Linked DNA regions of Oryzias latipes. The main gene of each other region encodes a partner of the protein of the gene in region 3 in a complex. Links are inferred from orthologs where the notes say so. Each region holds a gene or a part of one and is shown on either strand. Other genes may lie near its edges.

The links.
Region 1: cir1 (region 3) and hdac2 share a complex: the UniProt entries of both Homo sapiens proteins name them as parts of the histone deacetylase complex. The link is inferred for Oryzias latipes from reciprocal best matches to the Homo sapiens genes CIRSR and HDAC2.
Region 2: cir1 (region 3) and dnttip1 share a complex: the UniProt entries of both Homo sapiens proteins name them as parts of the histone deacetylase complex. The link is inferred for Oryzias latipes from reciprocal best matches to the Homo sapiens genes CIRSR and DNTTIP1.
Region 4: cir1 (region 3) and hdac3 share a complex: the UniProt entries of both Homo sapiens proteins name them as parts of the notch corepressor complex. The link is inferred for Oryzias latipes from reciprocal best matches to the Homo sapiens genes CIRSR and HDAC3.

What each region holds. Positions count from the first base shown.
Region 1 is NC_019882.2:21,616,114-21,622,751, reverse strand, and holds part of hdac2 (histone deacetylase 2), read right to left. Parts: intron 4,937-6,638; coding exon 4,824-4,936; intron 4,647-4,823; coding exon 4,529-4,646; intron 2,660-4,528; coding exon 2,585-2,659; intron 2,448-2,584; coding exon 2,309-2,447; intron 2,231-2,308; coding exon 2,089-2,230; intron 1,998-2,088; coding exon 1,905-1,997; intron 1,833-1,904; coding exon 1,724-1,832; intron 1,654-1,723; coding exon 1,513-1,653; intron 1,154-1,512; coding exon 1,045-1,153; intron 440-1,044; coding exon 309-439; intron 218-308; coding exon 62-217; intron 1-61. UniProt on the Homo sapiens protein: Histone deacetylase that catalyzes the deacetylation of lysine residues on the N-terminal part of the core histones (H2A, H2B, H3 and H4).
Region 2 is NC_019863.2:18,086,837-18,094,865, forward strand, and holds the start of dnttip1 (deoxynucleotidyltransferase terminal-interacting protein 1), read left to right. Parts: upstream 1-3,130; 5' UTR 3,131-3,598; coding exon 3,599-3,673; intron 3,674-3,957; coding exon 3,958-4,028; intron 4,029-4,698; coding exon 4,699-4,795; intron 4,796-4,875; coding exon 4,876-4,974; intron 4,975-5,059; coding exon 5,060-5,119; intron 5,120-5,191; coding exon 5,192-5,251; intron 5,252-5,323; coding exon 5,324-5,376; intron 5,377-5,454; coding exon 5,455-5,497; intron 5,498-6,683; coding exon 6,684-6,742; intron 6,743-7,579; coding exon 7,580-7,640; intron 7,641-7,711; coding exon 7,712-7,783; intron 7,784-8,029. Other genes in the region: pcif1 (phosphorylated CTD-interacting factor 1), read left to right, coding at 53-146, 222-397, 474-801. UniProt on the Homo sapiens protein: Increases DNTT terminal deoxynucleotidyltransferase activity (in vitro). Also acts as a transcriptional regulator, binding to the consensus sequence 5'-GNTGCATG-3' following an AT-tract.
Region 3 is NC_019879.2:22,284,949-22,291,887, forward strand, and holds part of cir1 (corepressor interacting with RBPJ 1), read right to left. Parts: intron 6,819-6,939; coding exon 6,724-6,818; intron 6,595-6,723; coding exon 6,521-6,594; intron 6,393-6,520; coding exon 6,379-6,392; intron 5,485-6,378; coding exon 5,432-5,484; intron 4,040-5,431; coding exon 3,991-4,039; intron 2,180-3,990; coding exon 2,059-2,179; intron 1,150-2,058; coding exon 1,043-1,149; intron 841-1,042; coding exon 755-840; intron 588-754; coding exon 1-587. UniProt on the Homo sapiens protein: May modulate splice site selection during alternative splicing of pre-mRNAs. Regulates transcription and acts as corepressor for RBPJ. Recruits RBPJ to the Sin3-histone deacetylase complex (HDAC). Required for RBPJ-mediated repression of transcription.
Region 4 is NC_019868.2:25,320,189-25,328,135, reverse strand, and holds the start of hdac3 (histone deacetylase 3), read left to right. Parts: upstream 1-2,579; 5' UTR 2,580-2,713; coding exon 2,714-2,768; intron 2,769-3,673; coding exon 3,674-3,756; intron 3,757-3,843; coding exon 3,844-3,986; intron 3,987-4,080; coding exon 4,081-4,162; intron 4,163-5,523; coding exon 5,524-5,580; intron 5,581-5,662; coding exon 5,663-5,718; intron 5,719-5,787; coding exon 5,788-6,002; intron 6,003-6,072; coding exon 6,073-6,146; intron 6,147-6,219; coding exon 6,220-6,284; intron 6,285-6,365; coding exon 6,366-6,455; intron 6,456-6,543; coding exon 6,544-6,602; intron 6,603-7,947. UniProt on the Homo sapiens protein: Histone deacetylase that catalyzes the deacetylation of lysine residues on the N-terminal part of the core histones (H2A, H2B, H3 and H4), and some other non-histone substrates.

The DNA.
Region 1 (6,638 bases), on a different chromosome or scaffold from region 3:
AAACGTCAGACGCTTCAGATTCCATCCAGCTTCTTTCCTTCCCATCTGCCCCGTTACCAACCAGCTTTCTTCTCCTCTCCCTCCTTCTTTTCCTCCTCCAGGCGGGGCCGCTTGCCTCCCTTCTTGTGGCTGGCCACGTTCCTCCGGCCTCCCTCCCCTTCGTCCTCTGAATCGGAGAACTCCTCCTCGCAGACTATCCTCTTATCCGTGGCCCGAACTGTGGACACACAGCAACACGCTGATGCAGCAGCGGGGACGTGGGCGATCACGGGAGGTTTGTGGAGGGCGGGAAGTGCGAGCAGTCTTACTAGACAGGCGTTTGTCGGGATCCTCCTTGTCCTCGTCCAGCGGATCGTCTGGGACGGCGTCCTCTGGGATGGCCTGCATCTGAACTCCTGGAGCGTGAGGAAGCATCCGCAGGTTCTCGAACAGGCGCTGCCTGAACACACACACGGGCCGTCAGTCTGACTCCCAAGAGGCGTTTAAACAACTACTTCATCACACAAAGACAAACCGTTTGGTTTCAGTTCAACTGAAAAACGGCTAAATGAGATGGCCGCTCAACCCGGTGCCAAGGATTACTAGATCGTCTGAGTGCTGCTGTAGACTGGTAGTGAAATCAGACAATCAGGAGCCGTTTGCTTGTAAAAAGAATAAAAAATAGTCACAGCAGGACAACTGAAGCTGATGAGAGCCTCGACTCCGTTATCCAAATGATTTTCACTCTGCCATTTTAAAAATACAAGTAAGGGCCTGAACACTTTGATGTCAGAGCAGTCACCAACAAGTGCAAAAGAACAAACGTTCTTACCACGTTATCATAACTCTACAACTGTTTATGCAATGAGTGTAACTCCAGAGCAGCTTTGTGCCACAATGCAACACTTCACGTTAGCAAAGCCACTGTTGTCCGGGTCAGAACCAGCTGGTTTACATTGATCGTGCAAACACTTCACCATCGTGTTGCATATCAGTGCTGCTTTTCTGGTTATTTCATCAATACCGACACAGAAGCAAAGGCCCGGTAATTCCAGACAAACGTACTTGATCTTATCCAGGTACTCCTGTGTGTTCTGGTTGGTCATGTTGGAGGGGCTGATGTGCAGCTTGAAGTCGGGTCCAAAGTACTCAAAGTAGTCGTTGTAAGGCAGTTCTGAAGGAGTCAAAGAAAGAGTCAGATGCAGGAGATCTCTGCATGGAAAGCAGACAAACTGATGCTTCCAGCAGCTGCACAGAATGAGGAGCTCAGAGGCCCAAAAGCATCATGGGAAAAGACTGTTGTGTTAACTGAAGTCAAAATACAATCTGAATTATAGCTACCAGCTTTAAACGTTTTGGTTCTATTGTTGATTCGTCCGCAGAAGCACCTGCAACAAAAGCAGCTGTCCTCTGGGAACAACGCTCCTTCGTTTTACACGGAACGTTTGCACCCCCTGCTGGTTCACATGCGTACCTGCATGAATGCATGCAGGTCACAGCAGCTGAAGCTCTCTGACACAACAAGAGACCAACCGTCTGGGATTTCCGTGTCCAGAGCCACAGCAGTCTCGTAAGTCCAGCAGCGCGCCACATTGCGAATGGTATATCCTCCTCCCCCCAGCATGAGCAACGGGAGGTTGAAGGACTTGATGTACTCCACGCATTTGGCATGACCTGCAACAACAACGCGTTAGGGCCGTCCTGCCGGTGTCACTCATGCAGGTAGCGTGGGGCTGCGTTGTACCGCGGATGGTGAGGTTGAAGCATCCGAGGCGGTCTCCTGACAGGGAGTCTGAACCGCACTGCAGAACCACAGCACTGGGCTGGTACATCTCCATCACCTTTGACATCACCTGCAGGCCCAAACAGCACATGAGGCCACCACTGACAGGTTCTTCATCATTTCCAGTGTGGCTGTGTCTTACGGGTTTGAAGATTTGCTCGTATGACTCGTCATCAATCCCATCCCGCAGGGGAAAGTTTACAGCGTAGTATTTGCCTTTTCCAGCTCCAATATCCTGAGGACCACAGGAGACACCAACAAACCCTTCATGAGGAAGATCGAACCATCTCCACTCAGGCATCAGTCTGTTTGTGATCACTGCTCACCCTGAGGTCTCCAGTTCCAGGGAAGTACTCTCCGTATTTATGGAAAGACACCGTCATGACCCTGTCAGTGGTGTAGAAGGCCTCCTCCACTCCATCTCCATGGTGGATGTCAATGTCGATGTAAAGCACCCTCTGGTGGTACCTGGTGACAAGACCCAGGGTCATTCATCTGCCGAAAACGAAAAGCCGTGGATGAGAAGTTCATGAGAATTCCTCTGACTTGAGGAGCTCCAGGATGGCCAACACAATGTCGTTCACGTAGCAGAAGCCCGAAGCCTCAGACTTCTTGGCGTGGTGGAGTCCCCCCGCCCAGTTCACGGCAATGTCCGTCTGCTGCCTGTTCAGCTTCACAGCCCCAGCTGTCCAAAGAGACCAGGGCAGGGGGTCAGGGTTCAGGTCTGATGCAGAGCTCAGCTTTGAGCTTTGAGGAATTGAGGTAACACTAGTCTCTAACTAGTAACGTCCCACAAGCACGATGTGGTTTGTGTGGACTCACCAGCAGAACCGCCGGCTGACAGCTGACAGAACTCAAACAGGCCATCGAACACAGGACAGTCCTCCCCAACGTTGACTGAAAAAGATTACACCAATGAAAAGTCATAACCTGGGCTTCCTAAAAACAAAAAAAACAAAGCTTGCTTCAATAGCTTTGTGTTTCAAGCAGAAGTGATTTAGTTTCAGGTTTATTTATTTCAAAGAGCTCTACAAAATCATCAGTAATCATGTGTCCATGTCTGAGATCATTCAGAGACTCCCCCAGTATGGAGAGCTTCACCGTCTGCTGCAGGAGCTGCATCTGAATGACAGATGCTTTCAGCGGTACTTCTGTCTCTGTGACCCAGTGTGATGACTTGCTGTCCCTCATTAGTCCCAGGAGGGACTATAACGCGGTTTACTTTTCACGGTTTCACTTCTTCACGGATTTGCATCGTGCATTGTGTTCTGCATTCTGATTGGCTAAAAAGTCACTCTAATTCTTCTCTTCCTGTGCGTCAATAACGTTGCAGTTTAATTTGTACACGTACATAAAACAGCTTGCCAAATTTACATTATGTACGTGCAAATTCTCTTGCAATTTCGAGTATCTCTAAAACCCATAGAAAAAAGAGCAACAACTGCCTATCACTGTGTTCTTCTCCTGAACAAACACAGCTGCACCGCGGGCTTCAAAAGAAGAAAACACTGCAGAGCGGAGTCAGGATGCAGCGGCTCAGTCTGAATAGCAGTGAAATACACCTGACTCACTATTTGTCCCACTGTACTTTGTATTTTTTTTTATTATCATTTTAAATTTTCTCCCGTTTAATTCAATTACTCTCGGGTCGCGGTGGGCGGGGCTAATCTCCGCGATTTGAAGCCTTCTGTTCACATCGATGATTCAAATTATTATTTGACAGAACAGTACAGACGTTATTTGTTGAAAAAAAAACTTTTATAAAGTACTTTTATTTGTGAAACAAATGCTTGAGCCTGTAAAATGGTTTGTTCTTTCTTTTCAATGTATAATAATGTATAAGTATTTAATTGTATAATAATATTTAAAATAAAATAAAGGTTTCTACTTCACGGATTTTGCCTATTACAGGTTTTTTTGGAACGTAACCCCCGCGAAAAACAAGGGTTTACTGTATACTACTTGTAGAATCGTTTTATTATTGTCTCAATGATAATAAGGAAAGTGTGAAGTTCACGAAGAGAATGATCAGGTTCTCCTTCATGTCTGTTTTAGACTCCACCCACTGATCACCTCATCAAGACGTCACGGGCCAAAGCTGAGTCCCTGATTGGTTGAAGCAACACAAACTCTTTGCCATAGTTAAACTCTGGAAACATGGTGCTGCACTGTGAAATGTTGCCACACTGTGTAGCCCCACTGTCTAAAATGCCCCACCACTAAAGAACTGCACCCCCCTGACACTTAAAATGAGCCACGGGCCTTCTAACCAAATCTGTAGATTGACTTAACATGTAAACTAGATGCCATGACTTGCAAATCGCGTTTGGTATGAGCCATTGACTATATAAGAAAACTGGACTGAGTGGCCCTCCTCCCCATGGCATTCCAAACAGGAAGTACCTGCTGGTTCCAAAAAGCCAAAATCGCAAAATCCAAAATCGACTTTTATAGAGAAATAAACAGCTGTTCCTCAGTCATTCTATTGGTCAGAAGAACCATACTTTTTCTGATGACGTCATCCCTTTTGTTTTTACATCATTCTATAGTTCAGGTTATGCAATTCTCTAGGTTATGCAGTCTATAGTTCAGGTTTATCACTTATAAAGTGACCAATCAGATGCCTCAATAAAAGTAGGTGGTCCCACGTCCAGCGTTGGAAACATTTGACGGATTGTAGCTTCACTGACAATCCACTTCACTTGACTTGTATCCTGTACAAAATGCTTCCTTAAGTTTGTCTGAACGTCAACAGAGCCCACTCACAGCGCTGCATCTGCTTGCTGAACTCGGACATGTTGTCTGGCCGTATGGATCTGAGGAACTTGATGTAGTCGTCACTGTGGTATTTGGTCATCTCGTCTGCGGTGGCTTTGTGTGGCCTCTGAAACCAGGAGAAAGGTGGAAGGGAAGAAACCAGAACTGAATGAAAGCAGGAGCGAACACAGAACTAAGAGCAAACCGCCAAGCTAAATCGACGTTTCCTAATGTCTGAAGTCTGCTGAGGATCAGGTCACATGGAGACACGCTCCTCACAGCAACAGAGCACAGGAAAACATACATAGATCTCCATTTTTCTGTAGAGGCCATAGTTCAGGAGGAGGTTGTGAGTCATGCGGATCCGATGTGGCTTCATGGGGTGTCCTTGTCCATAATAGTAGTTTCCAACATCACCTAGACACAAGAAAAACACAAAATCAATGATGCAGATTGCCAACATTAGCTCCACCAGCTTTTCTGATTCAACTGTTGGCATCTGTGTTGTTCCAACAGAGAACATGAGCAGCAAACGACAGAGGAAGACAACTCAGAGCACTGATCTGTGGAACAACCGAAGCTTCAGAACGATGACTCACATCCTCACCGTTATTTATTACTGCTCAGTAAACAAACCAGGAACAGTTTACAGCAGACAGAAAACGGGACTGATCCCTGTCCAACAAACTGGACCCTCCCAACCAAAATGTACTCTGACATCTCATAATGTCAGTTTATTCTTTACATTATGATTTCAGTCAGATTATTAAAATATGAAACCGCTCTAAACAAGTGCCAGTTCTAATGGGCTGAACTTTTATGACACTTATGTTCACGAAGATCTACATCTGCATCAGTAATCTAGTCATTTCAAAGTGATGTGCACGTCATTAGTGCACGTGGGACTGCTCTAAGCTAAATGTGACCGCAGAAAAAGGTGAAGTGAATTGCTTAAATGAACATGGTGTTTTTAACACGTTCTGGCAGCATTATTCTGAATATGAAGAAAATTAAACAGAAAATTGAATTTCCGAGTATTTCTTTGTTCAAACTGTTGTGAGTCAGGAGCGGATAAAAAATATGCAGTTGGGAATAGCTATAAGCAAGCCCCAAGCTCCCTGTTCTGTTCCACTCTAAAGGCCTGTTCACACCGGGACGAATTTCGCCGGCGATTTTCGCCGACGTTTAACGCCTCGTGACTAAACAAAGGGCACCAACGAGAGTGTGCACATCGACGCGAAAAAACGCCAGGCGTTAAAGCGTCCAAAAAAAAACGCCTCGGGTTCGTTTTTTTTTTCCGACGAAATCTACTCGACCAATGAGAACGGCGCTTTTGCTCACGTGTCTGGAGCTTCTGAAGTTACAGTAAAACACAACTTGGGGGCGCTCAAACACAAAACTGCCTTGCTGAGCACACATACCAGCGAAGAAGATAGACGCCAAGTAGCGTCTACACAGCCGCGAAGCAATAATGACGGACATTCTAAAACATCCCCGAACCAAGCACCAGTTGGAGCTACTGGTGCTTGAAATATTCATGTTTTCTTTGTTTGATTCTGACAAGCGTGTAAAAACTTGCTCTCTTCTTCTGAGTGAAAAGCGACTTTAAGAAGCGTAAAGTTGCGCAGCGCCACCTTGTGTACAGGAGTATTTCAGTTTTACATTAAGCGCCATCTAATGTCAGGGAATGAAATTGCATGTTCACTCCACTCATCGTCAGCGAAAATCGCCTGGGTGTGAACACAAAAAACGTGGCGAAAAACGCTGGCGAATAACGCCTGGCGAATATTCGTCCCGGTGTGTACGGGCCTTAAGGCATCCACCTGCAGACTAATGGATCCATGAACGTCTTTGTTTTCCTCGTCTGAGCTGGAATCGGGATAGATCTGATATTGGCCATCTTTTTTGTTGCACTGCTAATGTGAGGATGGGGTTGTGAGGGGCTGTAAGCTAGTGGTAGAGTAGAGTGTAAACGGGGGGGGGGGGGGGGGGTGCTCTGCATCAACAGTCCCACCCACAACTCAGAGGTTAATGCTCTGCAGAAACTATGTCCCAGAAAACAACACAGGTTTTTGATTTAAAAAAAAATAATAACTTAAAGCGATCGGACACGCTTGTG
Region 2 (8,029 bases), on a different chromosome or scaffold from region 3:
TTGTCTCTCTTGAGCTGGACAAGTATAATGATGGAGTACATGTTGTGTCCAGGCCGTTCCTGTCTTTCAGGCCAGTGAGTGGTTCATTTGAAGCAAACCCCCCCTTCTGTGAGGAGCTCATGGACAGAATGGTGACGCACTTTGAGGTCAGTACTGCCTGAGTGTTCACCTGTGCGGAGTTGTGCTGGTCTGTGCATTCACCCGGTTTGCGTCTGTGCTAGGATCTGTTGGAACAGTCCTCGGAACCGCTGTCCTTCATCATTTTTATCCCGGAGTGGCGTGACCCGGTGACTCCTGCTCTAACTCGCATGGAGGAAAGCCGGTTCCTGCGACATCAGCTAAGCGTCTCAGCCTACGAGCACGAGTATCGATCTGGAAGTCAGCACGTCTGCAAGAGGTAGCTGCACTTCTGCTGTTCTGATTCCACGTCCCACCTGATCTAATAGGTTTTTGCTTTTATTTTTTGTCCTTAGAGAAGACATGTACTACCGGGCTGTCCATGGAACTGCGGTACTCTTTCTACAGAACGACGCTGGATTTGCCAAATGGGCGCCCACACCAGAACGCTTGGCGGAGCTGACAGCAGCATATCGGCCTTCTCTGTCCCGCACTTCCTCCCTGTCCTCCCCTGGCCCCGCCCACATTTCCCCAGGAGACAGAGATTCCACCCTCAAGGCCTGTGATAGGACACAGAGCAGTGTGATGTCCCCCAGTGACCATGACAACAACAACAACAACAATGGCAGCACCAGCAGCAGTCCTCAGGACAAGCTGGCTGTGACAGAGGGGCAGAGCTTGTAGTGATTTTCATCCCTTGCGCTCTCATTGACCCTCACCAGCAACTGTAGCACACAAAGGCCGACACAGAATGCTGCTGTTCCCCCGCCAGCAAGGGTGAAGGCTTCATCTGACCTGTTCACCACTTCCCCCTCCCTCCGTCTGCTGGCCATTCTGATTGGCCGAAGCTCTCACGTGCTGTTTGAGATTCGGCCGCTCAGAATTCCAGCAAAAAAAGACTTCCCTGATGTCTGAGGACTCTCACTGGTTGGCAGCTATCGTTTCTACAGGACTTGTCTGTCTTTGACAGAATCTCGCAGAGCTCCCGCCCTCTTTGGTGAAGGAGGACTTGACTGTGCACCTGTTGAGCGCTGGCAGCTGGACTGATGGGGTCAAACAGAGGGGGCGGGGCCACAGTGAGATTATTGTCCGTCTTTTTCTAAACGTTCTTTTTTGTCACTTTCACCTCAGTTTTTCTTTTGCTTTGTAAATTAAATTAACATTGTAGATTTGTTTAAAAGAAAATTATTATATGAATTCAGATTTACAGCTGGGCCAGTCCAGAAGGACTTTAGTACAGACAGGTCTGGTCTGGTCCAGTCCAGGTTCAGACACTAAGACACTTTTAATCTCTCATGGGAGAACACAAATGAGCTGTGCCCCCCCCCCCACACACACACTTCTGGCCTGACCCAGCAGCTGCCCGCTGCTCTGTGACAGGTGTCAGGTGGCGTCTCTGCACCCATTTGTAGATAATGTACAGTTGGACCGCATGAGGTCTGTTGATGCTCTTTTCAGCTGAATTTTTTGTTGTTGTTTTGGATTAATTTAACCTTTTTAAAAGAGATGTGTTTGTGTATTCACGGCCCAATAGTTTGTTTTAACCCAAACCAAAGTGTTGTTTATAGGATATAAATGTGTATGTACAGGACAGGTGTTTATCTGTGTGAGCTGGGACTCTCCTCGCCTCACCATCTCTTCTTTTAGTTGTGCATGAAAAAATTTGGACCGCACACAATCGCAGAGCAGCATTTAAGGAAAAAGTTCAGAGTTGGAACAGAACCTGAAAAACCTGAAGCGGTTTTTTTTCTGCCACAGCTGAAGGTGTGTTCTCCCGAGAGTTGATGTCGTCTTTATTTCTGACTCTCAGATCGTCAAATGCTCTCTTACCTCCTCAACAGGTTGGTCCTGTTTCTTAGCAGAAGAGCGGTTTCCTCTTCCACAATAGGAGGGTGACGGGAGGCATTTCTGGTTTGTGTTCAGGGAGCCGCAGGACTCGGTTACCAGTCCAGCAGAGGGGTTGTTCAGTATAAGTCTGTTCAGACTCAATTTTTGTTGTCCTTAATACTGCCTGCAGACAAACTGCAACTCCTCTCCAAGTAAAAAGTATCCAGCCCAGTACAACAGCGTGTAGCTTGTCTTCATTGTCCCTCAGGTTTGAGCAGCTTTGTTATTGTTATGACATTTCAGATCTCATTGATTTGGAACAGGTTAGTTGCATCAGGTTTCTCAAAAGGTTTAACTAAAAACATGCAAAACTGGACTATAAAATGAGCAAATACAGCAGAACCATGCAAAGGTGTAATCCTAAAAGCGAAAAGTATGTTGTTGCATCAAAAATGGTTACAAAAATAAAGTTAGAGAATCTTAAGACCAGTTTGGTTAGTTTTGCAGTAAATGAACAACTGTACAGGTAATCAACAATACCTGCTTTATAAGCAAGTTACAAAATGCACTCTTCTGTGCTTTTTGTCTTAAAAAAACACTTTTTATTTATTTTTTTTGCTTTTAATCTTTTGTGACTAGAAGGAATTGTAGGAAGGAGATGAAGGAAACTCTAGACCTATTTTCCTTTTCTATTTGCTAAATTTGAACACCCTTTTTTCTGTTATTTATTGGTCAATTATTACCAGAAAGGGTCTTTTCTTTTCTTTTCAAAATGAGGTATTCGAACATAAATTTCTCTGATAAATGAGGTTGGACTTTACTTTTCAAAGCTAGTCCTGAGGGTTCACAAATGTTTCTGCTCCTGAAGTCTTCTCTGTGACATCTACATCATCACTCAAGGGAGGATGAAGCTTTGTCTCCTCTTACTGCTGCTTCTGCTACTATAACTTGACTGTGGTCTTGACCTTTGTCTTAAAGGTATGTGACACTTGTTTCCAATAAAAGAGGTTCCAGAGACTCATCATAGCACAGAACCAGACTGTGAGTGAATATGTGGTGCTCCTGCAGGTGCCCCAGGTCTGCACCAGGTCTGCTTTTTCACATTAGTGAGTCCTGAATGGCAACTTTTTTTCCAGCAGTTTCCCCAGCATCTCTGTGTCGGCATATACTGGTATGGTCCATGAAGTAGGAGACAAGTACAAACGTTTTGTTGAAAATATAAACTATGTTCAACAGATCTGTGTTACAACAGATGGATGTAAAAGAGAGGTAATACTTAAGAGGTTCTTACTTTTGACACCTAATTTGAAACAACTGATACTTTAAATGTGGGGCTTTTATCTTGATAAGGTGGTGACCGGATACGGTTTGTGTCTGTTTGTGAAGGACTTGTATGCGAAGTACATGATCCGAAAAACCACAGTGTATTTTTTTTATTGTTTTCTTTAAATTATATGACAAAACACTTTAAAATGTCGAGATATTAGCACTGTTTCCTCTCTTGTTCTTTTTTTTCGGTCTTACGGAAATTGTACCGGAAGCGTGACGTCAAGCTAGTCACTTAGCCACCGTTGTTTTTACCACCTGTTAGCCAAAATTGTAGTTGTTTCTGTTCGTTCGGGCTCCTTGGACCCTGGACAGCACAGTTTCCGTCATGGGAGCCCAGCGCAGTGAGGGAGGCCGCGACTGGCAGGAGCAAGAGGAGGCGGAGAATCCGGAAAAGATCACGGTTAGACGAGAGTCAGCTCCCGGCCTCCGCCGAAGGCCGACTCCGCTAAGATTAGCGAGTCCTGTCGCTGTTAACTTAAACTGTACATTATAATTATGAAAGCAACTATTATATTATATTACATCATTATAGTATTTATATCATTATAGTATTTATATCATGATTTTACTTACATCCGGAGGGGTCTGATGTTAGTGAAACTGGAAAATGTATTGAAACATAAAATGCAGAAACTAAGAGACTAAAGCGATGTTGTCGTCACTCAGTCATACTGATGTTCACAGAGGCCTTGGAACCTGATGATCAAGCACAGACACATCCACAAACGAGGTCGCCGCTCACTCTCGGCTGTCAGGTTAGTGCTGCTTTACTTCTACTGTTTCTACTCTTTCTCCTTCATGTTTAGTTGCAGTCCAGCCTCCCAACAAAGCAGCTCAATTCATGTTGTTTCCTTCGTATTAAAGTGCCATGTACAACTGAAATGGGCTCCAAATGAATCGTTTGTCTGTTTACTGCTAAACGTTGTACATCATGGAGTTCAATTAGGTTCAGATCATTCCAACAAGGCCACTCCAGTCATCTGTTGATCTGTTTTTAAAGTGTTTCCCGGGGCTTTTAGTTATGATTATGCCGCTTTTAGCCCAAATCCCCAAACTTTTGATGTTTTTTAGGACAGTTTCTGGGATAGAGTGGCAGTAATTCATTACAAATGTGCCTCTGTCTTGTGAGCTGGACCACTGCCGCAGAGTGAACGTTCCCCCACTTCCCATCATCCTTTTGTTTACATGCTGTCTCTCTAGCTTAGTGCCCCTCACACCCCCAATATCATCAGTGCAACAAAAATGGCGAGCAATATTGCAATATACAAACTATATTTGAAGAGTAAAATTATTTTAGTTTTATTGATCTGTAAGTAAATGGATTTGCATCAAATGCATGTTGAGTAGATTTCTCCTCTTTTTATTCTGGTCTGCCGTTTCTGATTATTTCTCACATTTTAATGAGGATGTTCCCATCTTGTACAGTTACACAGATCCTCATGTGTCCATGGACCTGTTGAGGGCAGTGCTTCAGCCCAGCTTCAACAATGACATCATGGCGGTGTTCATGAAGTATCAGAAGGTCAGAGTTTGCACTGGAGGGGTGGGCTGCTACCTTCGGGTGTGGACGAGAGTGAGCAGTTGTTGGTGTGCATCTTGCAGTTCTACGAGAAGGCAGCGGAGAACGTGAAGGAGAATGTAGGCATGGAGGTGCAGACGGATCATCTCATCAGGGAGGCCTACAGGAACGCTCTGGAACATGTGAGAGCAGTTGGTGTTCAGCTCTGACCGTGTCTACTCTCCTGTGGGGAAACTCTCTGACAACTTTATTCTGATGTTCTCCCAGGCCAAACAGCTCTTTCCAGAGAATGAGGTGAAGACGGCGGGACCTGGGGTAAGCATGAAGGTAAGATTTGTGGAACCGGCCAGTAAGACCCTGGCTGTGGTTTTAATCTGAACTCTGTACTTTTCCCTGCAGAGACTACCTAAAGCTTCTGATGAAGAAGGCTCACAGAGAGGAAGCTCCTTTCCTAGGAAGGTACGATGGCAGCATCTGTTGTACGTCAGGTGCTGCATTGACCCAGTCATTAATGGTTCTGTGTCCCCTCAGAGGAAAAGTCGCCCCACTGTCGCGTTTTCAGACCGACCCACAACCTACATTCCGTAAGTACCTGAAGATGAAAACAGCAGCATCTCTGCAGGTGACCTGACCTTTCATCATGTGTTTAATATTGTCTTTAGAGTGAAGCCCAAGATTGAAGCCATTAGGAGGGAGGGGCCTAAGGTGAGTCTGTCTTCACACACTACAGAAACTAAAATAGATGAGTTACTTTATTTGTCATTGTTACATGTACAGTGACATTTAAAAGTGCTCTTAGGGTAGTTTATTATTCTTAAAAAAATATTTAAAAAGTAAATAATTTGCAACTTAATAAATAAAAGTGCACATTTGGTCATTGATTTCCAAATAATAAATAAATAGTGCATCATATTGTCATTAAAAAACAAGAAATTACAACTAATACAGTTAAAACCACAAAAAAAGGATTAGTCATTAAAAATAAGAAGTTATAATTAGAAAGCAGTGTTAAAACAGGTGTAATAATATTAAATATACTTTTTAAAAAAGTCTGAAGACCAGAATGTTTTAAAAACATCAATAATTGCAGAGTTTCTGCAGCTGCAGTTACAATTTTAACACATTTTAGCAAAGTTTAAGTTAAAAACTGTCCTTCAGACGACTTGTCCTTTTTTTTAACTAAAACTGTAACTTCTGTTTTAAGGTATCTGCTCAAACATGGAGTCACCGGGGTGTGAAGCGCCTTTCATCATTTTCTGTCCTCTTATGAGGCAACAACCAAGATTTTTCTCCAAAAACTGGAGAAATTATTTTTCTTCCTTATAAAATAAGTAATTTGTATTCAAACATATACTGTATATCATCAGTGGGGATGTAATGACTCACTTTCCCCACGTTTCGGTTCAATTCTGTAAAATACGTTTTGGTTTTAAACTGATAATTCGGACTTCTATAGTCATCATTCTAACCGAACAAACATCGCCTCAATTCTTTGTGCCGACACGGCTGATGGAGTCTCTCACAGTGAACAATTGAGTTGAACGGTGTAGTGGCTTCCCGCTGGTTCTGATGTCAGGCAGTTAAAAAAGGGCATAAAGTAATGAATCTTGGAGATATCCTCTACTTAAGTTGAAAAGGATCCCTAAAAATATAGCAACTTTTTAGACAACCTGCTACAACTTCAGATTGTCTGTGCAGCAACAACCACAAAAATTGCTCCCAAAATCCAGATTTTGTCTTCATTTTCTTTCCCTCAGTGCACATGTCATTACAGTAATTAGTTATGATGATGCACTCTGTCTGCCTGAAAACATTGGTTGATGTTCTTCCATACCTGATACCTGATGGATGAATGCAAATAAACTTATAGTACCCTTTGTTTGTGTTCCAGTGGGATCCATCCAGACTCTCAGAGACCACCACCTTTGTTCTAGGCTCCAGAGCCAACAAGTGAGTTGGTGCATAAATGACACCACAGTATATTGATACATTGATGTTGTGTGACCATAAAGGCCTGACTTTCTTCATGTGGCTGCAGCTCTTTAAGCTGCATTGATGGGAAGGAGTTTCTTAAACTCCTTCCCATCAATGCATTTAATAAATAAATCCGCCTTCGCAAATGTCAGTCACAGACTGCAAGTATTCCAGCCTAGAAAGATGAGTTTGATCTGCAATGTTCCGCATAAGATGGAATTAAAAAATAAAATAAAATCCGGGAAATCATCTTGTATGAATTTTAAAGAATGGTGTCCTTTGACAGCTCTTTGGTCTTATTCATGGTGGAGAGATTATAGTCTGAATGTATACAGGTGTCTTGTATACAGATAACCAGTTCAAAAGGATGACATACAAGTAATGAGTGGAGGATAGAAGAGCTTCTTAAGAAGAAACAGCAGGTCTGTAAAGGAACAGAATTCCTGCTTGTTTTTAGGAGCTAAATATTTATTTTCTGCGTCATTACACACTTAAATTCTACAAGAATCTACAATATGATTTCTTGGATTTTTAAATAATTATCAGTAATTATTATTTTACTAAGGTGTTAAAGTGCAGGCAAAAGCAGCAGGGGGGTACGAGTGTCTGTTGACACCCAGAGGTGGTTCCATTGTGGATAGTGAACTGGACCGTTAAGGTGGAGGTTTGTTTCATGGGGCGGAGCATCTCACCACCAGCAGCCATGACCTGGTTGGTGTTGGAGGTTAAGCTGCTCTGGTGATGGTTCATGAGTCGGGCCGCCATGTGACAGTGACGTGTCTTCCTGAAGTAACACTGCTGATGTCACTGCAGAGCTCTCGGGATGGGCGGGACCAGAGGACGGATTTACATCAAACATGCGGACCTGTTTAAGGTAACGAGCTGTCCTTTGTCTTTGACCAGAACAGACAGGAAGTGATGTAACTGTTATTCTCTGTGCGTTAGTATGCTGCAGACTCCAAGGACAAGCAGTGGCTGGCAGAAAGACACCACATGAGAGCCACAGGGGGCAAGATGGTGAGAAACCCAGCACCACACAGATGTATGACTGCAGCGCCACCTGCTGCCACAGATTATTAAAACACCAGAGATACTAAAGGGTGTCTGTGCAGACAGCAAGTTATGCTTTTAAATACGTTTTCTTGTAGAGAAGGGATTAAAACATTTCACTGTGTCAATGTTCATTATCAATGGCTGCTTATGCCATAAGGGAGATGGGTTGAGTAGCCTTTCTGCTAACCAGTTGAGGTTTAAATCCCAGAT
Region 3 (6,939 bases):
TGTCAGCTGTTTTGCCTCTCCTTTCTTCTGCCTCCCATCTGTTCTTCTCGTCTTCACTCTGACGCCTCTGTCTACCTCGGCCCTCCCTGCCCCTCTCGCGGCTTCTGCTTCGGTCCGGGTCCGCCCTGGAGCTGGAGGGTCTCTGCCTGTCCCTGCTGCTGCGTCTCCCTCCATCTTGACCTCCCTCTGGAGTGTTCTTGTTCTTGGGACTGCGATTTCTACTCCTGCTCCTTCCCCTTTCCACTCCTCTTTGTCTGTAATCTCCAGAGTCCTCTTTCGGCTCCTTCTGTCCGGTGTGAGGGCTTGCTGACCTGCTCCTGCGAGAGGAGGCCTTTTTGTGACTCTTGACTCGCCGCTCGCTCTCAGAGCTGTTATCCCGACAGGACTCTTCTTTCTTGTTCTTCTTCCTCTTTTGGCTCTTGGATTTTCGGTGAGCGCCTGAATCTGAGCCACTGTCACTGCTGCTGTCATCAGAGGAGCTGCTTGAGCCATCACTGCTCTCCTGCTTCTTCTTGTGCTTTCTTTTGCTTTTCTTCTTCTGTTTTTTGCTCTTCTTTTTCTTTTTCTTATCAAGCCGATCAAGTTTTCTGCAAAACAGCAAAGAAGTAAACTTTTTTTTTATATTTGAAAAATCAGCACACATAAAAACAATGAGAACATTCATGTTGGACATAAACATTTTCTCCTTAAGCCTTAAAAACTAAAATGTACAAATATCTGAGAATTTGCAAGACTGAAATGAAATCCTGTTTACCTGAGGAGCTTTTGCTTCTGTTTAGTGGTTAATGACTTCAAAAATTCCACTTCTGGATCGTCTTCTTCATCACTGGCAACATATTGCTAAAAAGAAAAAAGAAAGACTTTTGGTGAATTAGAGTTATTATAGATGTTTAAAATAACGTTTATTAAAAACTAAGCATATTTCATGAAGCCTGAGAACCTAACAAAACTTCCCTTTCTTTGTTGGGTACATTTTTGTGTAGATGTGCGTTTGTGTATCATCATATTCGCACAACGATGACAGTGTGAGACAGACAATTACCTGTGTAGAATCGCAAACAATAGAGTTGGTATCAAGGACACATTTTTTGAGGGCAAACCCACTGTTTCGCATCTCCGCCATTAACTCGGAGGGGTGCATCGACGGACCTGTTGGCACAAATCACACCCTAAGAGTCCCATTGATGTGGGATGTATACCATCCACTATCTCCACGGCGGGAATTCCAAAGGCGGCTTTGTTAACAGAATGGGACACCAAATCAACTCACTCCACTTCCGGCTGAGCAAATCATACAATATCGTTCACTGCCAAAGCAGCAGTTAGGGGAATCAGAATACACAATAATTACATTTTTTTTCTCCCGGCACAGGAGGGGAACCATTACGGCACTCCATCATCATCCCCACTGACTGGACTCTCCCAGGGTAAACATTATCACTTTACTACTCAGCTCGCTGATTGCAGAACTTGGAATCAGCTGAAGGCTGTGAGCTTTAGCTGGAGCCTGAGAGGAATGATGCAGAGGTAAACGAGCCACAGCATGTGTGGAAGACAAAAAAAAAGCTGCTCCGCTGACCCCCGCCAACCACGGATTCACATTCTTACCACAAATAGTCACACCATACGTGCGTTTTCAGAAAGCACATGGTAAACGGCGTGTACTTGTAAAGCGCAGCACTACCTTCTTAGAAGGCCCAAAGCGCTTTACAGTCCCATTCACCCACATTCAACCAATAATGGAGGCTCTGCTGCCAAACGCTGGCGCCAACTTCTAACCACCAGGAGCAACGTGGCGTTCAGTGTCTTGCTCAAGGACACGTCGACACACGGACATGCAGAGTGCGAACTGAACCTGTGATCTTTCAACCAGAGGTCGACCGCTCTAGCCCTGCACCACCACCAGATGCAAGTAAAAACCCTGAGCATGCTTTAAGGATTCTGTATGCTTCATTTGATGCTTTTAAAATAAAACCTGTTTATAAGAACATTTGTTTGAAGGTCCATTTATACTGATGAGAGAAAAAAAAAAGAATACTTGAGCACATAAAATGGTACCTGCTTCCTCCTCAGACGCCATGGAGCTGGCGTTGATGCCTGACAGTCCGTACAGAGGACACTCTCTGTCTGTGTTCACGTGGCCCCATTTGTGACACTTGATGCATCTGACATTGCGCACCTTTAAAATAAAAAATGAATTAAAAAAATTATTCAATTGTTGAATAAAAAGGTTGTAGAAATAACGTCATAATATACGACAGAGTATAAGGGCCACCATACAGAAAAAGAAATATTTGAAAAAAGTTCATGAGGGGAAATAAGTCTACATTTTATGGGAATGAAGGCACAAAACTGTTAAAATAAAGCTGTACATCACAAAAAAGCCAAAGGAGCGATTCTTGAGCAGTGTGGTGTCCATCCTATTTCTCTCAATTGTTTACAACACACACACAAATAATGTTTGGTTGAAGAGGGAAAATATAATGTTTAATTCATGAAAAAACAAAATTTCCATGGTAAAATTGTGACTTCTCATAATTCATATATGCATTTCTTTTTTCATGCTGGCCCCAAAACTATGCTGTAAATATAGATTCTTGGGATTAATAAGGAGGAAAAAAATATTCTAAACTCAAGTACAGTGTTCCTTCATTTATCGCTGAAGTTAGATTCATGATAGGGGATAAGTGAAATAAGCAAAGTATCATCTTTTTTATTTTGTGATCTAATGCATAGATCATGTACATAGATCTTGTGATCCATTTTAAACACGTTTCCAGTGCTTTTAATTATGATTATGTCCTTTTGGCCCACTGATTGTAGCTTCTACACCTACAAGCTTTTTCCAAGTTGCATTATTTCTTCTGCTCCTGATTCACAATGATTTGAATAGAGAAATACTCAGAAATGCAATTTTAAACATACTTTCCTTTGAATATATTCGCCGTCGTGAGAAAAATGCCATGGAAACATGTTAAAAACACCAAAACTATTATTTTCATGTAAAGCACATAAAGCTGCATAACATTGTTTAGTTGCTCTTGTATATATGTATATATCTTGGAAAAGATATATGTTTGTATGTAATTTATATACTTTTACTACTGGATCCTAAACCATTGAAGCCATATATATTGAGGTTAGGAGTAGTAGGTAATGAAATGACAGAAGAAAATGTCCTTTTTTGGATTGTATTGTTTAAAAATTTTCATTAGTAAATTTGCTGCAGCGGGATGATTCTATATGCAAAAAGTGTCATATTTTGAAAGGAACTTGATACAGCCTTTGTCAAATGCAAAACATCAGATTCAAGAAAAAGAGCTACTTTGTTTTTATTTTGCTGTGTTTAGTTCAATTACATTTCTCCTAAAAGTACCATAAATAAAAAGCACTGTTGTATTTTTTTAAGCAGTTCCTGCTGGGTTTTGGTCAGAATAATCAGCCTCAATGGCTCTCTCAGTGTTGAAGGCTGAGATTTCACATTTGGTTTGATTTAGGGTGAATTGTTAGTGTTTGCAGTTAATTTACAAGTTTGAGTTTTTAGATAAATATTAATAATTGAGTGCATCAGAAGGTAAGAAGGATTTCAAGCTTTTCATTTACAAAAAAAGTAAATACTTTATTTATTTTTATTTTTAAAATACTTTTTCTAAGATACTTAAAGCCTAAAGCCAATGGAAAAAAGACAAATTATTACATTTTTTAATTTTATATTTCTTATTTTTGCATTATTAGTACCAACAGTCAACCAAAAACTCTAAACTTAATTCACAAATTTAACAGAAAATAAACAAGTTTCTATTCACTACATTTAGTTTAGATCGTATTTCCAGACCAAAAAGAAAGAAACTGCAGCAGGGTTTATTTATTTGTTTGATTTTTTCTTTCCGTAAAAAGAGGAGTTGACTAAGATAATTGAATCAAAAGAGCAAATGTGCAGTTTGCCTGTGTAACAAAGCAGTTAAAAAATAGGAATAAATCTTCACTCACCTGGATTCCAAATGGCTGATCTCTAATATTCATGTCATCTTTTGCATATCTATAAAAATAAACAGGGAACATGTTGGTTTAATCAACTTAAAGAACGGACAGACTACACTGTAAAACTAACAAGTTCTTAAAAAGACCTTAAAAATAAGTTAATTAATTAATTAATTAACCAACTTTAATTTTCAGTAGGTGGAAACAAAGCAGCAAAAAAAACTGAATGGGAGGATATTTCCCCCCCAATAATAATGTCAAAAATAATATCAAACATTTCCAATCAGGATAATAATCAAATAATGAGTACATTAACGCTACCAAAAAGCAGCATAGTGCTTGTGTAAAACTATGAAAGTCAAAAGGTGCAGCAGTGAAACATGTGAGATTAGCTGGTGGTGTTAGCTGTCAATCATCTTGAGCATAGCAGTGACCCACTAACATACCTCCAACTTGTGATCTGACACAATAAAGCAGTGGAAATATTAAAAAAAACACACAGAGGGGGACAGATGCTGGGCCCTGGTTCTCGTGTACAGAAGAAAAAGATCAGGAAGTGTTTTCTTGCTACCTTATCTTTAAGTGTGTCCAGCATGATTCATTGTCCGTGATAAGAAAATGCTGATCAGGAGAATTCCAGCAGCCTCTGCCGCTATCAAGGTTTGTGTCACAGAGCTGTTCCTTTGAAGCAACAAGTACTCAACACAAAAGACCTTAAGAACTTTGTTTAAAGTGAGAACTCTAACATCGCTTTGAAAATCGCCTTTTCAGGAACCTCAATCAGGAAGAGAAGGTTGCTCTGTAATTGGTTTGTTGAATTAACAGCTTTACCGTTTAAAGGGGAGAGAACCTTTCCAAGAAGGCAATGACTATTCTATTATGTGGGATTGTTATAATAATAATATTAATAATAATATTAATAATAATGGATTGGATTTTTCTGTGCTTTTCCAGACGCTCAAAGCACTTACAAAGCGTCCATTATTGATTCACTCCTCATTTATACTTGGTGATGATAAGCTACTGGTGTAGCCAGAGCTGGCCTGGGGCAGACTGACAAAGGCGTGGCTGCCAGTACAGGCCTACGGCTGCTCTGACCATAACTGGGACATTCGTACACATTCAATTGGTTTGTTGGTTCCAAGACACGGAAGTAGACTGAATGAGACTACCTATGCTGGATCCTGATAACACGTAGGACAGATTCATGATTTTCCTGAAGCATTTTAATATACTTTACTATAAATATCATATTAATGATTTGCCATCTTTATCTAATAGATTTAAGATAATTTTATGACCTGGCAAATAAAATATGCAACCAGGCTGATTCCCCCTCCCCAAAACTGGTCATGAATACATCTTAAAACATACAATGAAAATATAAAATGACCAAAAACTCAAGTCTTGAAGCAACCTCTAAAAAAATGTGTCAGAATCTAGAACTTACTTCTCTCGGGGAGCAGTCTTCTGCCACTCAAACTTGCATTCCTCCTGACCCTCCTGAGAAGCAGAAATATGGACATAAGATTATCTTTAACATTATAGATTTTGTTTGTCCTACGAGGGCAAACTCAAAAAAGATGTATACATTTTGCATTTAAAAAAAGAAAAACAATCTAAATTGAGGCAAGATTAAAGACAATATACCACCATAACCTGGGCAATATAATAATAAAAAAATGTCTGAAGAGAACACAAAATATGGCAGCTGGATCTGCATTAGATCATCTTCTAGAAACTGAAAGCCTTTCAGACATGAATAACGCCAATCCATTTCTAGATAGTTATGTATTACAACTTCAAACAACCCTGAACTTGCAGAATATTTTTATACAGCAAAACTGTGATAATTTTTTTTAGTCATAAAGGTGAAAACAAGAGTGATCGGTCATAAATAGGGTAGTTTAACAGTGTGGATTTCTACATACAAAGGGGAAATGATCTAATTCCTTCTTATTGTGAATGAAACATTTATCTGTAGCCACTATTCTCTTCAAACTTTTCTGAACAAAAGACAAAATTTTGCTCCTTTAACAAGATTCATTTCATTTTTTTCATTCAACCTGGCCTCTAAAAAGATATTGAATTAATTATTTTGTTTGTTTTAGTCTTAAGTATTTTTTAAATGGGATGTTACAGTCAGTATTTAAATGTTTACAGGCTGTTAAGGAGTTTTTCTTCAGCTGCAGTCTGGTCATGACTATTGCAGAAACACACTTTTTTTAAACAAGCCAGATAGAATTGTGTGCAGCTATTGAATAAACAATTATCAATGACAAAATAAACCAAAAAGTGGATTGTTAATGTTTAGGTGAAAATCACTTGGAATTACTTGGTTAGAATTATTCCCCTCTGTCTAATAAGTGAGTTGATAAAGATTTTTGTTAACTTTACCTCTTTTGTCTCCTCTTCAAGTCAGTAAAATGTGCGAAGAGCAGCAAAAAGAACAGAAATGTACATGTTAAACATAAGATGTCAAAGAAATATTCAATTAAAAAATTGACAAACATATTGACAAATGTGGAAGATCATTTACCTTTGGAAGCGCCTGGTGGAGCTTCATACATGAAATTGAGGCCATTTTTAACACGATCATCTCCCATTAACAACCTACAATCAGAGAAAATACAATCTTATCTGAAAAATTTATTAGTTTTGTGCTGTTATAAAATCAAACCAAACTGCACAACAAAAGCAGCTTAAAGCCAGTTCTGGAAGTCAATAAGGCTTTAACCTGACCTGTTGTTGTATGTTTCCTGCTCTTTCAAATATGCCTGCATTAGATCCTCTTGCTTCCGCTTATCGAAAGTGAGTTTTTGTTCGGCCATCCATACCTAAAAGTAAAAAAAAAAAAACACAAAGAAAGAGAGTGGGTATTAGGATGCAATTGTCTTAACATGCTAAGGCAGAACTCCCTAAACCTCTGTACTGGGACTTCACTATATCACAAAAGCA
Region 4 (7,947 bases), on a different chromosome or scaffold from region 3:
TTTACTAGTATACATGTTGACATGCATGATGCTGCAGGGCTTTTATCAACATGTAGGGATGATGTATGTATAATTTGCTGTCGACATAAATGTACATTTTATTTTGTTACACCTATATACTCTGTACTACGACTAGGCTTTTATAGTTATATAGATTTATACATTTCTGACTCAGTGACTGAACTTTTCTTGCAGGTTTCCAATGGATTCAGACTTAAGGAAAAAGTGGGCCTTAGCAATAAAAAGAGCAAACCCAGATGGATCACTGTGGTACCAACTAACAATACAGTCTGGCTATGTTCATAAGATTTTGTCGAAACACATTTTGATAAGACTGGCTAGACACCAGTAACACCAAATTGATCACTCACATGAATCAGTAAATCTATTGTTTTTCTTTATTTTTCTTCTTTTTTTAAGGGTAAATCTGTTATCAACTTTTGGACTTATTGTTGACTTATTATTGATTTATTCTTATCATTTATTATTATCATTGAATTACTATTGATTTATTATTAATATTTATTATTGATCTAGTATTATTATTATTATAATCATTGACTAATAATGTATATATTGTTATTATTTATTATTATTATTGACTTCCTATTGAGATATATGGATGTCTTAAGATATAAGGATGTCTTAACAGAGGACATGAAGTTGGCTAATGTTAGGGTAGAAGATGTCCATGATAGAGTGAGGTGGAAAAGGATGATTAGCTGTGGCGACCCCTGATGGGAAAAGCCGAAAGAGTCTTGTTGTTGGGATTTTCTAAATAATTAAAATTACATGTCGAAGAGGTCTAAAACTTCTACATATTTAAAAATTATTTTTAACATTCTGCAACTATGCATTTTTCATTAAAGTTTGAGCTTTTAAGGCTGCCTGTTTCACTTACTTAACAACAACAAATGGTGTATATATATATATATATTATGTATTTATATATATGTATACATATTTATGAACATAAATATATATAAATTATATAAAAGCTACTTACCAAAGGCTATAGAAATCATTGTCATGTGGGCGCCGTCGACCTCACCAAGATGGCGACTCGCTCCGCCTCCACCAGCCAGGCTTCCCAAGCGGGCGTGTCGCCTCTAGCGATATAACTCACTACTGTTTAAACCAATGAGTTATATCACTAGAGGAGACATGCCCGCTTTAGAAGCCTGGCCGACGGTGGCGGAGCGCGACGCCATCTTGGTGAGGTCGACGACGCCCACATGACAATGATTTCTATTGCTTTTAGAGGTGTCTAAGTAGCTTTTATATACTATATATGTTTTTACAATTTATATATATTTATAAATATATGTAAATACATTATATTTATATATATAATATATATATATATATAGATACATCATTTGTTGTTGTTAAAGAAGAGAAACAGTCAGCCTTAAAAGCTCAAACTTTAATGAAAATGCATTGTTGCAGGACTTCTTACAAATAAAAAAATTATTACAAAGAATTAAAAAAAAATAATTTGTAAACATTTAGGAATTTTAGACCTCTTTGACATGTAATTTAAATTATTTAGAAAAACCCAACAATAACTCAATAATAATAATAATAATAATAATAATAATAATAATAATAATAATAAATCAATAGTAAGTCAATACAAACAATAAATAATAGCAATACATACATAATAAGTCAATAAATAATAAAATATAAGTCTATTATTATTATTATTATTATTATTATTATTATTATTATTATTATTATTAATAATAATAATAATAATAATAATAATAATAATAATAATAATAATAATAATAATAAAATAAATATTCAAAAGAATTCCAAAAGTGAACAATAGATTTACCCTAAAATAACAACAACAAAGAAAAATAATAGATTCATGTGAGTGATCAATTTGTGTAACACAGATGGTATGGTGTCAGGTTTCAAGCTAACAGTCTGGCCTCTTATCTAAATTGGTTTCCACAAATGTTTTGAACAGTCAGACTGTATTACTAGTTGGTACCACAGTGATCCATCTGGGTTAGCTCTTTTTATTGCTAAGATCCACTTTTTCCTTAAGTCTGAATAGTGAATAGTGAAAAGTTCGGTCACTGAGTCAGACATGTATAAATCTATATTACTATAATAGCCTAGTATGCTGTATACAGGTTTAGCAAAATAAAATGTACATTTATGTCGACAGCAAATTCTCCGTACATCATGCAGCATGTTGATAATAACCCTGCAGCATCATGCATGTCAACATGTGTTCTATTAATAAAAGAAAAACAAAAGAAAAAGAAAGAAACAAAAGAAAAAAATTATAATACTTTTCTATGAAATGATATACTTCTTCTTTCATGGACTCAGTTCTCTGATTTTGGCAGTTGAAACACAAACAATGAACTGGTATTATGCAAAAAATGTGTTCAAATGCATTCACTGCAGCAGTAACTTGACCTCACCAAGATGGCGGTGCTCTCCTCCCATGAGGAACCACGTGATGTTTCCTCTAGTGATCATCACTCATTGGTTTAAACTCACTCCGCCATCTTGAGACCCCCTGTTCGCCCCTCCCCTCTCCATCCCCTGCGTCCCAGCATGATGACGTCACCTTTAAATGTTTACGGTTAGCCGTTAGCGGCAGGAAAAATGCGGCAGACTGAGCCGCTCTTTAAAAAGTAAAACCTCGCTGAATCTCAGGATTATTATTATTTTTTTTACATTTAAAATGTCTATTAGGACGTCTTACTTTTACGACCCAGATGTGGGAAACTTTCATTACGGTGAGTTTGCTGAACGCTGGGATTGGAGCAGGAGTGCTAATGCAAGCTAGCTGGAGGAGGCTAACAATTCAAACGATTCATTGTTAAAATTCAGCTCCAATTTTGTTTCTGGGTTTAATTAAGATATTTTTTTTTATCTCATTCATATGTTCAGGCCAGTGTGTTGTAGGTGAGTAATGAACACATAACGTCACATTTGGGTGCAAAGGAAAAGAATATTGTAGCGATCCTGCCCACGGCAGGAGTGTATGTAGATACTTAGGGTTATCTGTTGGTGTTTTTAAACCCTGACTGAGTTGGTTATTTCCAGGCAACATATTTGCAATTTGTATTCTATACAGGAATGGGCTATTATACTATATACCAATTAAGCTGAGGAGTACTGATTCTAGATTTAGGTAATAGAAAGGTTAATAATAATTAATTATGTCCTTACCCGTTTCTGTTATCATGAAAACTTTTAGGTCTTAATCACTTCCAGCTGTTTATAATCTCTGAACAGTTTGGGATTATCATTGATTTGGTTTTTTTATTAGTGTGAGCTCAGTTCAAAGCTGCTGTGAGTCCACAAAGAGCTGATCACTGCAGGATAAAAATGGAGACCAAAATCTAAAACAAGTGTTTGTCCCAAAGCATTCACGGCCTCTGATTGACAAAACGATTGTTGACAGAGTGTGATCGTGGTTTCTCTGGTTTTTATAGGTCTAAAAAGAAAAGACAACAACAAACAAACATTTACAGAACCGACAGCTGCAGCAGATTCAAACTAAATGGAGGGATTCTGCAGCATTTTTTTTAATCTTCTTTCCTGTTGGTCGTGAAAACGCGTTGGAAGTGTAATCATGTTGAAATGGAGCTGATGATGAAAAAGTGATGATGCTTGTTGTGAACCGCGTCTCCTGCAGGTGCCGGTCATCCCATGAAGCCTCACCGTTTGTCTCTCACCCACAGTCTGGTGTTGCATTATGGGTTATATAAAAAGATGATGGTGAGACACTCCTGAAGGTCCAGAACCTGCTTCCACTGTTGCTTCGAGATCAAAGATTGAACTCTGCAGTTTCTCTGTGACCGTCAGGTTTTTAAGCCGTACAAAGCCTCTCAGCACGACATGTGCCGGTTCCACTCTGAAGATTACATCGACTTCCTGCAGAAGGTCAGCCCCAACAACATGCAGGGCTTCACCAAGAGCCTGAACACCTTCAACGTTGGAGATGACTGGTGAGCGCTGCTGCTGCTGCTCCTCCTCTTCATCGATCTGTCTTCTGCTTTTGGTTCATGCAAATGTGAGCACTAACCCAACGGCGGGCTCTAGTCCTGTGTTTCCAGGACTCTTTGAGTTCTGTTCCAGATACACGGGGGCGTCTCTGCAGGGCGCCACGCAGCTCAACCACAAGGTAAGCCGTCCGCTTTTCTCCATCACTGGGTTTGTCATGAACCGTCACTCATGGACTCCTCTAGTAACGGATATTCAGCTCCATTTAGGAATTATTCACAGGGTCAGACTTTAAATGTTTACATGATCATAAAGGGCTGCAGATTTTTTACACCACAATCGATCATCATACTGAACGATTTCTCTATTAGACCGAGGAAATATTCCAAACTGCGTCACCCGGATAAACGAGAACCTTCAGCCACATTCAACGCAATCATTTAAAAAAGAAAATGGTTTGCTTATTATTTATCAAACATCGTTACTCACAGGAAGGTCACAAATAAGCTAAATGTTTGGTTTTTTTTACATGTTTTTGCAGCATTAATAGAGTTAATAGTTAAATATTCTGGAGTTTGTAACAAACATAGCAGCTTCAGTTCTTAAAAATATAAAAAAAAACAATGTTATTTTCAAGCTGCGTCTTAAAAAAATAGTTTCAGCAAATGTTTGGGGAAAAAACAGCCAAAGTTGTCAGCATGAAGCTGGAAATGTTTGGAAATTTGCATTTGTCTTCATTTGTGGCGATCTCATTTTTTAACAGCACATTGTGTTCTGCGTCCTGATTCGCTGTTGACCTTGTCAATCAATCTCCTCTGTGCCAAATCATCATCAGATCTTTGTTTGCATTCTATAAAACTGGATTTATTCTCCTAGTGTGCAAATGTGTGAAAGTGAGGAGTTATCCGACTGTCACCACAGACATCCATGGATGTATATCAATCCACAGATATACATACAGAAAACAATATCATTGAGTAGACGTTTGTCATCATCAGGACAGCTGATCCAGTTTTGAGCTGCTTTATAGTAAAACATGGTCCTTCACTGTTTGGTTCTGATTCGGAACATTAAGCTGGTTTGGACTGAAAAGCAGCAGCAAAGCAGCTTTCAATGCCAACCTTTTATAGACATCTTGGAAGACATTTCTAAATCATTTTCTTTATTTCTGTCTAAAAAGAAAGTCCTACATTTCGTAGCTGTTTTCTGTGTAAACAGGGCTTCTTTATTGGAATTAAAAGTTTAAAACGGTGACTCCAGCCGCTCGTTTCCTTTCATCTGAGACAGTAAAAAGACGAAAGATGTACTTTATTGAAAAACCTGGAATCATTGGAGTGTCATTTACCTTTTATTTATAATTATTGAAACTGCAACAGAATAAAAATAAAAACATTTTTAGGCTCCAAGCACTTTTAAAATACAATGATTTTTTTTCTGGATTTATGACTTTATTGCCATGACCTGAGATGACCAGCAGGTGTCACTGTCACAGTGCCTCCTTCTTGTCTGGATTTCCTTGAATGTAAATATTTTTGGTTGCAGATCTGTGACATCGCCATCAACTGGGCTGGAGGTTTGCATCACGCCAAAAAATTTGAGGTCGGTAAACTTCCACAGCTTCCTGTCTGTTCAGTTGAAGTGATTTGTGGTTGAAGATTTTTTTTTCTCTCTGTGTTTGCAGGCGTCGGGATTTTGCTACGTGAACGACATCGTCATCAGCATCCTGGAGCTTCTCAAGTGAGGCGGCGCTCCTCTGCACCTCCTCCGGCAGTTCCCGCCTTTTCTAAGTGTGTGTGTGTGTCGCAGGTACCACCCCCGAGTTCTGTACATCGACATCGACATTCACCACGGAGACGGCGTCCAGGAGGCCTTTTACCTGACGGACAGAGTCATGACCGTGTCCTTCCACAAGTATGGGAACTACTTCTTCCCGGGAACGGGTGACATGTACGAGGTGGGGGCCGAGAGCGGACGCTACTACTGCCTCAACGTCCCCCTGCGAGACGGCATCGACGACCAGAGTGAGGGCCGAGGTCTGCGCAGTCAGAGCCGTCTGCTGTGAGCGTGCAGTCACGGCTGTGTGTGTTGCAGGTTACCGGCAGCTGTTCCAGCCGGTCATCAAGCAGGTGGTGGATTACTACCAGCCCACCTGCATCGTCCTGCAGGTCAGCCGCCGCCGCCGTTTGTCCCATTGTGTTGTCTGCGGGTCGTTTTGAGAGCGAGGCTGTTTGTTTGCAGTGTGGGGCCGATTCCCTGGGCTGCGACAGACTGGGCTGCTTCAACCTTAGCATACGGGGACACGGGTGAGACTTTTACTCCGCGTCACGGAGGGTGGGGGCGGCGTTTCCGCGTGGTCAGCAGGATGACGGTGCTTCCTGTTTCAGGGAGTGCGTGGAGTTCGTGAAGAGTTTTAAGATTCCTCTGCTGGTGCTCGGAGGAGGAGGGTACACTGTGAGGAACGTGGCTCGCTGCTGGTTAGTGTTCCTTCAACCAATAGGTGTTACCATAGCAACCTGTGACGGATATTCAGGGTTTGTGTAACATCTGCTTTGTGGACGGCAGGACCTATGAGACATCTCTGCTGCTGGAGGAATCCATCAGCGACGAGCTGCCGTACAGCGGTGAGACGCTCCACTTCCTGTTACTGTTACACTGATCGAATTATCCAGTTTTACCGCCATCTGCTGGAAGGTCAGATCCGTTACCGCCGGTGAAGTCAGGAAAATTCAAATCAAAAGGGAGAATTTTCCAAGAAAGTCTGTTTGAGACTGACTGTGAGACTGTTTGTGTGACAGAATGCAGACGTCACTACCAAATCTGAGTCCTGATTGGACAAATTGATCTGGCTTCACTTTCAACATGCGTTCAATGGCTGCTCATTTGACGCTAGAAATGGTGGACGCAGAAGCCCAAAGCGCAATTTTACACAGACGTCAGTGGAAGTGATGGCTTGAACGGGTGTTACAGAGCTTAACTCTTGAGCTATCATATGACCCCCACCCTTACTTTGACGTGTTCTCCCCACCATGACAAAGGTGGATAAAGGTGGAAAGATTTCATGTAATCCATGGACACCAGTGAAGATCACAAATCATTAAAGAAAAAAGGTTCAGAGCACTGTCTGGTGCAGAGGTAGAGGTAGGCACAGAGGGCCGCATTCCTGCATGTTTTCCAACATACCCTGCTCTGGCATGTTCTGATTAGCTGGACACACCTGAACCAGGTAATCAGCCATGAGTTGGGCAAGAATGTCTGGAAATCATGCAAACACACCGGCCCTCGAGGCCTGGAATTGCCCACCCCTGGTCTAATGGGTCTAGATGACCCAACTCCCAATGTTAACGTGCCTAGGACAGCACAAGGGTTACCATGTCAGGGCTCGACATAGCCATTTGTCCGCTGGCCCGGTCCTGTTTTTCGAGCAGTGCGGACCACAAGACGTTATTTTTCACTTGTCCGCTCGGGCCACTAAAATATCTAACGGTTAATATATTTTTCACCTTTTTCAATAAAGTATATTTTGCGAAAACGTGTAGATTTACCTCGTCTTTATAATTCACTTTTTCTGCTAGTCCTGTGTTCAGACTTCAAGGGTTTCTATGGGAAACCTTTGATCACTCCTCTCCCGCCTGCGGGCGCGGCTGTCGCTGCCGAGCACCACGCCGCACGCGCTCACTCAATTTTTTTTTTCAAACTTTATTGAATGTAACAATTCAATACTAAACAATGTTAAACAGCAACAACGAAGGAACAAGCCAGTGGGTTATTATTACATTTTAGGCAGATATATTTAAACTGACACACATATCAGCGCGCCCCCTGGTGGTTTTTCACCGCGATGATCATAAATCCAACACCGTCACTGAAGAGAGACTGAAGCATGTCAGAGATGTGGAAGACATGGCAGGAATAGATAGGAATATGTTAGATGGAGTGACGGGTGGAATTAGTGCTATGGACAGCAAG